Alligator mississippiensis: one gene and its partner. The protein of the gene in region 2 interacts with the protein of the main gene of each other region in a pairwise test. Links are inferred from orthologs where the notes say so. Each region holds a gene or a part of one and is shown on either strand. Other genes may lie near its edges.

Region 1 (7,474 bases), on a different chromosome or scaffold from region 2:
AATGCTTAATACAGTTAAAATGACTACTTGACACAAGCAAAGGCTTAGCTATCATTCTGCCTTGTGGTCAGCTGCATTGCTAGGCCACAGGTCATGCCTTGTATTCAGCTGTAAAGCTAATACTTCTTAATAATCCAAATTATTGTTAACCTAACAGTATGCTATCAGAAAACTATTCTATTTCAGGGTAATAACAAACATGCTCACCATATCTGAAGCCTCTAATCTCTTAACCACCATTTTGATTTGATATTACTACATGTGTCTTTGTCCAAGCAACTGAACAGGAAAGCACAAGAGAAAGGTATTAAACAGAAGAAGAAAAACTAAAAACTATTCAACTGTTTAAGTGCAGTGTCTCAAATAGCCTCCTAAGTGAATGGTACCAGATAGGGAAAGCAATTTTAACAGATATAAAGGCACATAAAGAGCAACTACTACATTTCTCACGGACTTTGTGCAACTAAATTGATTTTTGGGGAGTGCTTTCCAAGGGGATTGGATAACCAAGGTTCTATCATACTGACCATGACCTGCTTATGTGCTCCCATGCACCTTCCAAACCCAAATAAGCACTGGTGAGGCTGTTGTCAAGCATACTACAGAGCAAAGAGGTCTCATGCATTTGAGTAAGAGCAGGTGGGTAGTGTTCCCTCATTGGTGTCCTAGCCAGGATAAATTAACAGTGTTGACACAACTCAAGGGCCTAATTGCTAGCTTATACTCTGACAGAGTATAAATAAAAGTAATTTTAATGTACTTTTGTCCACTTAGGCCTTCAGATTAAATCAGTAAAAGCAGTAAGGAGGACCTGCCCATCTTTTATTTTAACAATTTTAATTTAATGAATATATTAATTATTTTTTTCCAAGTAGAGTTTAAATTCTATTATAAAAGTAAACGGGATTTTTAATTTTCTGTACAAATATAAGTAAGTTTGTTAATTAGTTCAGGCGTTTATCCTTTAGAATCTTAGGAAAGTAGGACTAGAAGCCACTGCACAAGGTCATCTAGTCAAGTCCTCTGTTCAAGGCAGGATTGTCCCTGACTACACCATCCCAGCCAAGTGTCTGTCCAACCTGCTCTTGAAAATGTCCAAGGATGGACATTTCACAAGTTTTCTAGGTGGTGTGTTCCAATGCTTGACCACCCTCACAGTTAGCAACTTCCTCCTAGTCTCCAATCTCAATTTCCCATGCTGAAGTTTGGGGACATTACTCCTAGTCCTCTCCCCTACAGCTACAGAGACAAACCCATTTTCATCCTCTTTATAAGTCACCTTTCAGGTGTTTGTAGAATGTATCAGACTATTATCTGTCCATTATTAAAGACTATTATCAAATAACCCTAGTTCTTTCAGCCTTTCTTCATAAGTCTGGCTTCCCAGGCACCTAATCATTTTTGTTGCTTTGCACTAGATTTTAATCTGTCCACATCCTTCTTACAATGTGGGGCCAAAAACTGGACATAGTACTCCAGGTGAGGCTTCACCAGTGCTGATTAGAGTGGAAGAATCATTGCCCTTGATTTGTAGGTGACACTCCTATTAACACAAATCAGTATTCAGTTTATAGTCCAGTCTAAACTCCAGAACCTTCTTTGCAGTACTGCAGCCTAGCCAGTCACGCCCCAGTCTGTATTTGTGCATGCAATTATTCCATTTCAAGTACAGGACTTGGGATATACCTGCACTTGTCCTTGTTGACTCTCATCCGATTGCTTGAGGGCCATTTGTCCAGTCTATCCAGATAGTACTGGTTCCTAGCCCTACCCAATAAAGTAACTGCAACCCATCCCCATCCCCCCCAACTTGATGTTGTTCACAAATTTGCTAAGCATGTACTCAATCCCATCATCCAATTAATTAATAAAAAGTGGACGTGTAGCAGAAATGGTCCCTGGCCAAAGCAGCCAGCGGTCTTGAATCCAGGCCGATTGGCTTGGGAAGCCAGCAGCCTAAACACAAGGCTAGAGCAACAGGACTTCCTGAAATTTAAAGACATGTTAATAGTTCTTGACTCCTCATTTATATGCAACTTTGCATTCCTATTTGAATCACTAGGTAAATGCTATTCTAAATGTCTTGAGTACAATTATTTTTATACAGTTATGAATTATGTTAACTGTTTCTATTAACGCTAGAGCAGGCAAGGGAAAGAATATTTGTCAAAACAAATGGCAGACAGCCTATAGACCTTCAGCTCTGGCAAGCTCTGCAGAACTCTATAGACTCTTAAAGCCATCTTTACTCAAAATATTAAGGAACTAAATGGGGTAGAGTAGAAGTGTGTTCCTAGAGGAGCCAGTGAATATAAAGTGCTTCACAATACTTTCTGCAATTAATCTGCCTAAGCAGACACTTTTGCATTTCCAGAGTTCTACTGAAGTCAATGGCAGCTGAGCAGGTGCCTAAGTCAAGGTGTTTGAATGCAGTTGCAAAATTAGTGGCTATGCTTGGAGCTGCATTTTTTGTATTTTCTCCCAAACTTGCTGAAGATTAATGAAAGCACAACTTATTTAAAAAAATGCAATAAATTAAACACAGAAAAATATTGAAAACGTTAGAAGAAAACTATCAGATACTTTGGAAAGTACTGGAGACAAATTTATGTACTTAGCACAATTTTCTACCAGTCCTGGCACAGTAGAAAACTATGCATTCAAGTAATTTCCCATGTCCAACAATTTAAATCTTTCATGGCTGTTAATATCTCTTCTAAAAAAAAAGAAGAATGAAACAAACCCTCCTCCATGGAGCATTAATGTAACACCCAAACCGAAGACATAATACAACATTTATCCAAGGCACATCATTTCTACAGAAAGGGACACATTTGAAAGTAACTGAACAGGACTAGAAAAGGTCATGGATATATTCTGTAATCCTTGCAGATCATTCGTCCCATTCACTTCAGTATTGGCTACTGGACACACTAAAACTTTCAACATATGCACATGTGTGTATGTTGGTGATATATACCAAATGGTAATATTAAAATAAAACATGCGAAGGAAGGAATTGATGCTTTTCAAAGTGGGAAGAGGAAGACAACAGTTGTGACCTTGTCTATACTGGAAAAATATGCTGCTTTAGCTAGTATAATACAATTCAGATAGTACAACTCCCTACTTTAGGTGCAGTTATGGTGGTGCAAAGGTGTTTTGCACCGCTATAAAGAAGAATAGAACTATAATGCACCATATACCAATGACACCAATATAACCCCATAATGGTTCTTACCACTAACTATGTCACTAAATTTTATACCCTGGCCATTATACCAATAAAATTTTCAAGCCTAGATGGGGCCTAAACAAAGGAGTATATAATATGGGAAGGAAAAAGGACCAATACAAAAAGGGGAACAATAAATGAAAATACACTTCAGCCGAAGAAAAACACATGTTCAATTTCAAGTATCCAGTTACGGAACAATGTTCTAGCAGTTCAATTAACGCAGGTATCAGACCACATCACAAGACCTCGTTTCTCGGGATGCTTTCCAGCTCCAGCTAATATTTAATATTAAACCACCAGGCAAAGGAAACAAGCCTCTCCCACGGAGAGGAGGCAAGAGTGGGGTGGTGGGAAGTAACCTCTGAAGTTCCCTCAGCCCTTCCTGCGCCTGCCCATCGCTACAGCCAGGGCTGCAGTGCCCAGCACACAACTGTCAGTTTGCTTCAATTGCCCAGAAACAACTGGTATTTCGGTGTCACTGTAGTTGACAAATCGTGAAATATTTTAGTAAACGTCAAGACAGACACCCACCCAGACCACAGCGCCGAAGGAACCAGAGGCTCTTCTAAATCAAGCACGAGTTGCTGGTCGCTCCTCAGGGACCCCCGGAGAGGAGACTCCTCAGTGGGGCGGCGGGGGAAGGGGCTGTCACAGAGACCGTTAACGGCCATAACGGACCCGCTGTCCCGGGACCAGAGGCAGAGACGAGACGAGCCGGGCGCGCACCCTTCGGTACCGGCTCCAGCTCCGCACCCGCCCCGTCTGGGCTCAGCCCCCGTCTCGCCCTTCGCCACAGGCCCGCTCCCCCCACGGCGGGAGCTGCTCGCACCGGCGCGCGCCCCTTGGGGACTGCCCAGGGGTCCCTTCCCCCTCATGTTTCCGAGCGGCCGCGGGGCACGAAGCAAGGTCCCCCCACTCGGGGGAAGCGGCGGCTCCGCTTAACTCCCCCGGGGCGAGGGAGCAGCGAGGGGCTTGGTGCTGACCTTTCCCTCAGCGAACGTGGCCATCCCGCCGCTTCCGTCCCCCTCGGAAGGCGGCGCCTACCTGCCCGCGAGCGGCAGCCGGGACGCCGGCCCCGGGGGCCTTTAAATCCCCTCCGCCGCGGGCGGCGCCAGGACTACATCTCCCAGGGGGCTGCGCGTGCCGCTCAGCAGCGCCGACGCGGGGCGGGGCTGCGCCGCCTGACCTCACAGAGGAGCCAGCCCCGCCCGCCTGTGTGGCGCTGCGCAGCGCAGCTCAGCGCGTGGGGAGCCTGGGCCTGCGCCCGCTGCAGCCACCTCCGGCGCGCTGGGCCCCGTCCCTGTCCCCGTCCGCTGACGGAGGGGCCAACGGGGCGGCGCGGGGAGGAGCCGCTGTCGCTGCTAGGTTCTGGGCCCGGGGCTAGGACGGGCGCTTTGCCCGTGCTGCGGTGGCGGGGCCTGCGCGCCCCCGGCCCTGGGGATGTCGGAGCCGGTGGGCTCGGCGCTGCAGCAGACCATGGACAGGTGCGGGGAATGCGGGGGGAGACCGGACCGGTCGGTGCCGCCGGCCTGGCTCCGGGGGCCGCGGGGCGGAGCGCTGCGGTCCGGGGTCTAGTTTCACTTCCGGCCTCTGCTACTAAGTCTGTTGCTTTAAACACATCGCTTGACCCGCCGATGTCTCCCTTACTGGTCTGTGAAACGGTGGTTACACGACCGCGCAGCCCTCTGGGATGTTGTGAGGCTCAGGAATATTTAATAAGAGAAACAGGGACTTCTGTGCAGGATCTTGTATCAGACCAGCCTCACGGTTGGGGTAGACTTAGATGCGCTTCTGAGGGCTAAGCGTTCTTCTCCATGTCTTCCTCGGCTTCTAAGGTACTTGAGTACAAAGCTGATTGGGGCATTTTGATAGATGTTTTTGGAAGGGGCATAAAGATAAAGGATAATCACTGTTGAGTTAAAGAGGAAATTGCAGGGACTGGAGGCAGGGCAGTAAAGAGTGTGACTAGATATGTTAGAGAATCCTGATGGGAGACAATGGGATTGTGTGTTTTTTGTTGTGTTTTGCTGTAGAAAGTGAGTGAGATGGCCAGTTAAACTTGAAAATGTTACTTTTGTTTACATTTCCAAATCAAATGCATCAGAAAAAAGATTCAGTACTTCCACCCCACCAAGTGAAGGTTGAGAGGTCTAAAGGCATAATTATGAGCCAACAAAGATCTCTTAAAACAGAAAAAGAGCAGAAAGCTGAGCATCTTGATGCTTTAAAAGGCGGGCCAACAAGCCTGAAATCGACATCAGGGAGATGCCATCGGTCTTTCATCACAAGGAATCAAAAAAAGACATGTACACAGTGTTTTTCTTCTTTACAGGTTATCTTTAAGGAGAGTGAATTAGTGAAATACAGGATGTTAATGGTGAATAAGGAAAATTAAACTGTGTGAACAGAGCTCTAGGAAGCACTGAAAGTCACAAAGAAGAATTTAAGTTAGAGATACGCCAATATATTGGTTCGTACCAGATCGGCACCGATAAAGGAAAATCAACATTATCGACAATCAGCTTTTTGGCCCATGTAACAGATAATGTGTCTGATAAATGCTGTGTGCGTGTGTGCAGTCACAGCATACACACGGCCAGGAACGCAGCCTTGCAGCTTGGAAAGCAGCATCCCGCCATTAAATCTGCGGAGAGAAAAGGGGTGTTGGAGTAGGGGCAGACCAAGGCCCCCACAGTGAGGGACGGAGTGGGTCTGGGGCAGGCACTACCCAGCCAGGGCAGGGTGCTGGACAGAGCCACAGGATGGCAGATTGCCCAGGGGGCATGAGGCGGTAGAGAGGGGGCAGCTTCCCATTGCTGCGTGCACCCCCTGATTTGTGCGCGAGGTGAGGGCGGGCTCGGCCAGGGACTACGCTCGGGGAGGTGGGGTGGGTGGCAGTGGCACTGGGAGGGGGAGCTATGGGGGAGCTATAGTCACCCCAAAATTCTCTGTAACCCCCTTCCCAGCACCACCACTGCTTGCCCCAAGCGCAGCTCCAGCACAGCCCTTGGCTCACCAAAACTTGTTAAGTGGCCTGGCAGCTGAAATAATTGCCCACTCTGGCTTTAGAGACAACCTTCTCCTTAGTTTTTTTGGTCATAACTCACTATTAACTTTTGTTGTTGTTGTTGCACTTAGAGGTGCACCGATATATCAGTACCAATCTGATATTGGACTGATATAAAGAAAATTTGCTGTATTGGATATTGGCCCAATGGGGCCAATAATTTGGCAGATAAATGCTCGTGCTGCGCGCAGCCATGAGCAGAGCCCAGCAGCATGGAGAGCTGCCTCCAGCTGGTCAGTCTGTTGTGGTGGAAGGGGGAGGGAAGGAATGTGGTAGGGCAGGGGGCAGAACAATGCCTCCTGCAGTGAGAAAGGGGACAAGCATGGGCAGGTGTTGCTAGGATGGGAGTGGGGGGGGGCTCCCACCGCTGCTTGCACCCCGAGGGGCCCAGATCTGTGCAGGGCAGGGTGGGTTGGCGGGCTGGAGCCGGGGCTGCTTGGGGCTGTTCTTGGCAGGGGCTGGACTCGAAGCGGGTGCAGGGAGGGTGCTGCATCCACCCCAGATTTTGCTGCAGCTCAGGTCACAGTGCTGCTGCCGCCAGCCACTGGTGCTGCCCTGGTCTTCCCAGTGGGTGGATGGAGGCAGGGCACTGAGCCGGAGCAGTGCCGGAGGGCTGGCGGTGGCAGTGCTGGGAGCAGAGCTGTGGTGAAATTTGCGGTGGATGCAGCATCATTCTAGCACAGCTGACTCCCGCTCGGAAACCAGCCCCTGCTGAGAAGAACCCCGTGCAGCCCACCCCTCCTCGTGCAGATCCAGGGGCACACGCCCCCTCCCCTCTCCTCCTCTCCCCACTTGCAGTTCTATCAGTTGAGATGCTCTGTAAAGAAGGGCTCACAGCACTTTGTTTAAAAAATGATTGAAGTGTTGGAAATCTCTACCATATCAGGTGAACTTGACGCGCTAAGTGATTGGGGTACAAGCATTTGAACAAATGCTTGCACACAACCAATTGACTGGGGATGCAAGGGTGCCTTCTAACATCCCAGCATACTGTGCTCACCTCTCCCTTCCCCCCCCCCTGTGGCCCCCCAAAGGGAGGCTCTGTGACCTGGGCTGCACTCTGCTGCTGCAGCCCTAGTGTCAGAAAGCCCTTCCTACTAACAGCTGAGGCACTGGGAAAAAATCCAATGCTTCTCTACAGCCCAGAGGACCTGGAGCTGTCATTTTTC
Region 2 (6,943 bases):
CACTAGCCTGGGCTGCAGCCTGATGTTGAACCGGTTGTTGCTGATGTGGGAGTCCCAGGAGAGCAGGGTTCGAACAAAGGTCAAGGATATCCTCTGCTGGCTCCGGTGGTGGGGGCGCCCCGGGCAATGCTGGATACATCGGAGCGGTGGCCAGCGTGTAATTTGGGGGAGCAGCCAATTTCTCCCGAACAGCTTTTAACTGCTGTTTTAATTTTTCTTGAGAGTCTTTTAGGCTCCTAGTTTGAGATTCTGTCCGCCTTTTGGACATTTCATCATACCAATAAAAGAACGCGTCCCACTGGTTTTGTGGTGTTTTGGATCCACGGGACTCTAACGCCCCTCTCAAGTGCACTATTTTATCCTGATCAAATGTTCCTTCCTGTGGAAAATGTTTCACAGGATCATCCCTAGTATACCAGTTCCACTTATTCAAGTACTTGCAAGTCACGGGAGAATAGTGTGTGTACATAAAGTACGCCGGAGTCCCCTTAGGGGGGACAGGAACCTGTTTAGACTGACTTGTTCCCATTTTCAGTCACACAGGGAGATGTAGGAGAGGCTTATTTAGGATGTCCGGGCCGCTCAGTGCCTTGCCCCGCAGTTTTTCACTGCCCAGACAAAAGGCTTCTGACCCGACACCGGCTCATAAAATGGAAATGGGGAGGGAAACACTAGAGGGATCCTTTCACTCCTGCTTTCGGCAGAAGCTACTGGGACGAGGGGTTTGGAAAAGACAAAATCACTCAGACGCCCTGTCCACTGGGTCACGAGGTTCCAGTTGGGCCCCCTTGCTTTCAAAACTGCCCTGTCAGGCAGAATTGGGGCGGCTGAGCCCAACCGTAGTCTCAGTCCTGGTCAGTGGCTCATATTTCTAAATACACACACACATGCACATTTATTCAGTCAGCCAGACCTCCTACCCCACACCGCCTTAGTTAATTAACTACAAGCCCGATGTGCTGTTGGATGAAGGTGCCTCAAACAGTTTCTCCCTAAAACGTACGTTACCAGACACAAAATGGGATCCTTTACCAGACAGAAAATTTTAGCCGGCAGTAAGGTTCAGACTGACCTGTTTTAACAAGGTTCAGATCCAGTTATCACGGCCAAGTTGGGAGCCTACAGGCAGTCCTCCTCCGAAACCCCAATAGAGATTTTGAATTAGGTCTCTTACCTCTCAAGTTTGGCGCCTCAGGGTTCGGGGGGGGGTAGCCTGCGGTCCTCCTTCCTCAGCCTGTGTTCTGGATCCGAGTCACGGCACCAGGAATTGTCGTGGAAACACACACAGAGTACTTTTGGGTCAGGTCAGCAGAAGCTTTTATTCAAAAGAAACTACAGCTGTAGGGGGAGTTCCAAAGTGACATGGATTTCCCAAGCACTTGGAAGGGGTCCCCCCCCCCAAGAGCAAAATCAGGAGGCTTATATACTTTTTAACAGTCGCTTACAACTCACGTGATCATATAGTGAAATTAGCATGAAAAGCGGCTATAATATTACTTCATTATTTCTTTGCTGTTATCAGGATGGGAATTATGGGGGAGATAGGGTTAGTTCACAAACCTCCTTCTTGCACCTGGAAATCTACTTTGTACATACTTTTTTTTTCTACCTTCAAGGCCGCGGTGAGCGAAGCATTTGCAGAAGAGTTACAAAGAACAAACACTTGCCCTTATCTGTTCTACTGTACCGAGCCAGCAATTCTACACAAAGCGGTTATGTCATCTTATAACTAAAATAATCAAAGTTTAAGGCATATATTTTTTCTGATTCCACACTGTCATACAAAGGAAAATCTGATTTGCACACTGAGGCGTAGCAGCCTTGCACACACCTCTTATCATTTGACCTTGAGCTAGGTTTTCTGGAACACAGGATTCAAAAGTTGATTATAATGGATTCAAATAATTTTTTACTGTCATTACACCCTTGTTGGCTAACCATCAGTATGTTTTTAACTAAGCACGTGTCTGTTGCCTAACCTTAGTGTTCTTGACATGTGTGGCGTTTTGCATCAAGGAATGCTTTTTAGAATAACATGTATATGTGTCAAATGACTTAATCTAGTGGAACAGTAACAACAATTTGCATTTAATATTTTAATTGCGCAATTTAGTTCAAAAGTAGTACAGCAAACTGAAGGTATTTATACCAATCACTTCAGTGTAACACAAATGTCACCTGGAATTATGATCTTGTCAAATGTTATCACATAAACTTCAGTGGAATCTGCCAGCATGTAGATAAAAGACCTTCAGGTAAAATGTAGGTGGCCAGAGCCTCAGCTTCTATGCATCAGTCCGACTCCAACAGCATCATCAGAGCAGCGCACACTTGCACTAGCTGTGTGTGAGATCTGATGTGCTTTTGGAAGCATTAGTTTTATCATCAGTGTTGGTGGGGCATTACCATGAGCTTGATCATGCTGTGTTTAGAAGGAGGTGATACACGAGAGTTAGAAGAAACTGAGCTAGAAACTGAAATAACTGAGGGTCATCTTTATATTTCCTTTAGTGTAAAGATGTTTCTAGATGTCTTCAAGGCCCCTATCCCCCACACCTTTTCAGTCTCACTTTTAGTAGGTTATTAGTTCCTTCCACAGCCAAGTTTAAATGCATTTACTATTTCCCTGCTGCCTGTAAATCAATGAATGTTGTCCTTTCTGAGACAGCTGATTCACTATAACTTAGCACACTTACTGTTTTAGTTCAAATCACAAAGGTGTTCCCTTTCATGCCCTGCCCCTGTTTTCTCCATTTTCAAAACCTGGGAAAGTAAGCAAATACATTACAGTGATATTATTAGTGTCCAGTACTCAAGAATGAGAACATCAGTGCAGAAACCATTTTAAGGTATCCGGGTTGCAGCCATATTGGTCTAGAGGCAACAGGTATCAGAACTTATGGTAGAGGAGACATAGTTATTCTAATAAACAAGATTTTTGAAAAAAAAATTCTTTAATTTCAAGCTTTTGGGCACAAGCATGCCTTTTTAGGCACAGGAGAAAAGATTGTAAAAGTTCTTCCAGATAGAAATGAAAGTTCATATTTCATAGAAGAGTTAAAGGTGTGCTAAAATCTCCTGTTTGGCAGTTCATTTTATGCAGGTTAGGCAAAACTATTTTAATTAATTAATTAACAGTACAAAAACCTCCCAGGATCGTGCTACTGCTCTAGAAGGGGCACAGAGCAGGTTTTGCTCCTCTACCATTGCTGTGTGGTAAGGTGAGGTAGCTAGCTACGCTAGCATGAAGTTGAGTACAGCACAGAGCAGGGCAGGCCTTTCAGGCCCAGCAGGTGTTGCATGTATCACAGCACTGACTTGTGAATTGTACAATAAATGTCCTGTGCCACCCATCCAGCTAATTTCCCATGTGATATATTGGGGAGCCAGCTACAAAGATGTTCTTGATTTAATGCAGAGCCAATGAAGTAGCTGGTTGCCTCTGAAAACTTATGCCTCCCCAGAACCAGTCTGTCTTTAACCTGGCAGACATTACTTTAATTATGCAAGGCGGGGGGTGGGCTGAAAGAGGCTTATTGCAGACCCGGACCAGCCACACGTTAGAGACCTTTGTGGCAGGATGCATGGCCCCTGGGATCACTGCTCAGCTCCCTTCACCTGTTTGCTGTGGCCTGGAGCCAGATGAGGACAGCCCAGGCCATGCAAAGCCAACCCCCCCCTTGCACAAGCCGTGAAGAAGGCGCAGCTGCCCTCCTTCCTCCAGGGCTCGGGCCGACGTGTTCCGCGGCCCGCTCCTTACACACTGCGCAATACGGTAAGGCGAGGCCGGGCTCCTCGGAAGACAGGGCCTGGTGCAGCTCGAGGCACGTGGGGCTCTGTTCGCCACGGCGCATGCGCGGTGCCCGGGCTGCGGCCCACGTGACCCGGCGGCGGCGGCGCTGCGTCTGTAGCGGTCGGGTCGGCGGCGCAGAGGGGAGGGGGAGGATCCAATATGGCGTCCATGCAGGTGAGGAGCCTGCGGCGGCGCCGGGCCGGCGGAGCTCCCTGAGGGCTGGCGGTGCCAGCGGTTGGTGGTGCGGGGGTGGAGGTTGCTCCCAGGGGCGCCTTCTGCTCCGCAGGGCCGGGCCGGGCCGGGGGTAGCTGGGAGCGCCCGGTGGGGCGGGGCCCTGCGCGCCGTGGGGGCCCCGCTCCGCTCCCCGTCGGGCTGGGCCGCAGCCCGCTGCCGTGGCGGGTCCTTCTACGGCCCGGGTGCTGACCGCGGAAGCGGCGGCGTCTGCGCGGTGCGGCATTGGCGGGGCTGGGTGGTTCGGTGGCTGCTTCCCACGGCTTCCCCGCCCGTCCCTGTCAGGCGCCGGCCTGCAGCTTCTTGGCTTTCCTTTCCAAAGTCCTCCCTTAACTCTGAAAAGAAATGCCCACCCTTCCTCCTCCCACCTGGAACCATCTTCTCAGTTGGCTGGCTTAGGTTTTCTCAAGGTTGTCTCTACTCCTAATCCTCTGGTCCAGCGAAGCTCCTTCCACATAAAGCCTTGGCCCTGGCTCCTGGGATGCCCCATCCTGGGAGGGAAGTGCAAACCAGACCAGGAGCTGTGCACCTGTGTAGGAGTAACAGGAGCTAAGTGCCCCAACCTTAAACTGGGGATGTTGGGGAAACTGTCCTCAGGTTTTGCTTGTGGAGAGCTCTGCAGGAAAGGGGTAGAAGTCCTCTGGTCTTTTGAGTCATTTCAGATGAAAGGGAGCAGAAAGCTTGAACACGCAGCACAGAATATTCCCGATTTAGCAATGCCCCAAGTAATCCACTAGTCCGAGAGACTCGTCAGTCCTTTGTTTCCAGTTTCTTGAAGAGCTGTGTGAGACCATTCATGTTTGAAGTGTTGGATGATTTTATGCTCGCATTTCTTCAAGCAGCCCAGTTTTGACTAATTGCAAAACAGAATTTTGGGGCAATGATCTGTTTCAAAACCTGGTGCAGATATGGGGAAGTATCGATTGTGAAACTTGGAGGAGGCAGTTTGTGGGACTTGAGATGCTAGAGTTCTGTTTCTTTATGCCTTTTAAATGTCCTTCAGGAGCTTGTTTAACTGTCTTCCCACCCATCACCTTTCTTCCTTTTCTGTAAAAGAGGGATAATAATTAAGGAGCTTAGGGAGATCAACAGGTCAAAAGTTACAGTGCTAGTAGTGTATTTTCGTGAGTAATATGCCCCTTATTATTGGAAGGCACCAAGATGGGGGTAGGGGGGGCAGGAATCTTGCCTTGGAGTACAGGTAAGTACCAGGTATCTGGGGATCTCTGAGGCTGGGACTGGGGCTAGCCCGATCTGACTTGTTGTGCAGTGGGGATGGATTCAGCAAGCCGAAACTGGGACTACTTGGCAGGGCAGGGCTGCAGGTTAAATCCAACCCTGAGCGCTGGCTGTACATGGTGCCAGACTGACCACTCTGGATCTGAAGCCATGTGCTGGGTCCAGGACCATGTGGTGGGTTGGACCTGGTGTACCAATTCCAGCTGTAGGACAACCCTATGCACTGTCCCAGTCCAGCATGTGACTGGGGACAAGGACTCTCCACAGGTTGGGAAATTTGGGGAAGAGTGAAGAGCAGTGGCAATGTTAATTGTAGTGGTTCCCAGAACCAGGGTAATTAATGCTACCACTGCTCCACCCTTTCTCCCCCCCCCCCCCCCCCAAAAAAAACCCCCAAACAAACCAGATTTGTGAGGAGTCCTTTTCCTTGTTAATAATGTACACCCCAATTTTTCCCAGTTGCATTTGGGAAAAAGCTGTGGGTTATATGTGAGAAATTGTGGTAATAAGTCTTCTGGCTAATACCTATTTCTTGAAAATATGGTAGTGAGGAAGTTAGTTCTTTTCTTTTTTAATGTAATAAATACTATTCTCTTGGGCATCTGCATTTATTGATAGTATATTATGGACACTACTCATTTCAGTCTTGTTAAGTGTGGAACCTTTAAAATTCTGGGGAATGTTATAAATGTTTTAGATTCTGTTAATTTTTTTAAAGGGCAATTTGCAAGTCGGAAGGGTATGTTTTGATTTAAAACAGGCTCATAAACTTCAAAATTATTTTATAAGTATAATTTTGATGTGCATGTGTGTCTCCAGGTAGTGCACATCTTCCATTCTGGTCCAGTCTTATTTTGTGGTTCCTTAATAAGCACCTCCTGTGTTTTGAAAGACCTGTGAAAGTGGGGGGAACTGATTATACACAAAGCTTTGTCAGGTATTCAAAGTAAAGAAGAAACTTTCATTGTTTATAATCTTGCAGTTATGGCAGTTAATTCTTGGTGCTGCATGCAACAAAAGTAAATAACTCCTCAAAATGCCTCAGATTTTTTGAGATGGATGCAATTTCCTTGACAAAGCAGGAGCATGCTTATTCACTTTAGACTTCTATTTTATTTGATCTTTGAAACTTTTTATGCAGTATTTTCTGTAAATGTATTTAATATGGACATCATCTCTGTTCCAGTCATTTAAAGGTGATCTCCAAAATAGAAAATATGGGCTTGTGTTTTTTTGTTTTTAATTTTTTGGCATTTTAAGATGTACATGGATGGTCTGAAATATGTTGTTTTTATTTTCCCCCTCTTCGCCTTTTGTTTTTATCCTGATAGTTGGGCTATGTTTGGACAATGAAGGATCTGACATGAAGCTTGGAGAGTGAAACTGGAGTAACTAAAAGCAAACAATAATTAAAAATGACTTTGTGTAGTGACCAGTGTTTTAGGGAGAGGAAAAAGTCTGCTAAAATTCAATAACCCAGTCACTTACCTTAAATTATGAAAGCTACCAGAGATTTTTAAACCCTCAGCACATGCAGCAAAATTAGGGAAGATCAAGAGTTTTGTGAATTAAACACAGAAATATTAGCAATGTTAAAAAAAAAGAAAAAAAGACTCAGGAGGAAATCTTTTTAAAAAGTAAATCTATAAAGTTTTGTTGTCATTGTTGCTATAGTAGGGC

The links.
Region 1: the proteins of UBE2W (region 2) and MARCHF5 interact in binary tests that used the Homo sapiens proteins (3 or more experiments, as listed by UniProt). The link is inferred for Alligator mississippiensis from reciprocal best matches to the Homo sapiens genes UBE2W and MARCHF5.

Annotation. Positions count from the first base shown.
Region 1 is NC_081829.1:70,767,351-70,774,824, reverse strand, and holds the start of MARCHF5 (E3 ubiquitin-protein ligase MARCHF5), read left to right. Parts: upstream 1-4,435; 5' UTR 4,436-4,678; coding exon 4,679-4,722; intron 4,723-7,474. UniProt on the Homo sapiens protein: Mitochondrial E3 ubiquitin-protein ligase that plays a crucial role in the control of mitochondrial morphology by acting as a positive regulator of mitochondrial fission and as an important regulator of immune response.
Region 2 is NC_081826.1:58,931,504-58,938,446, forward strand, and holds the start of UBE2W (ubiquitin-conjugating enzyme E2 W), read left to right. Parts: upstream 1-3,858; 5' UTR 3,859-3,952; coding exon 3,953-3,967; intron 3,968-6,943. UniProt on the Homo sapiens protein: Accepts ubiquitin from the E1 complex and catalyzes its covalent attachment to other proteins.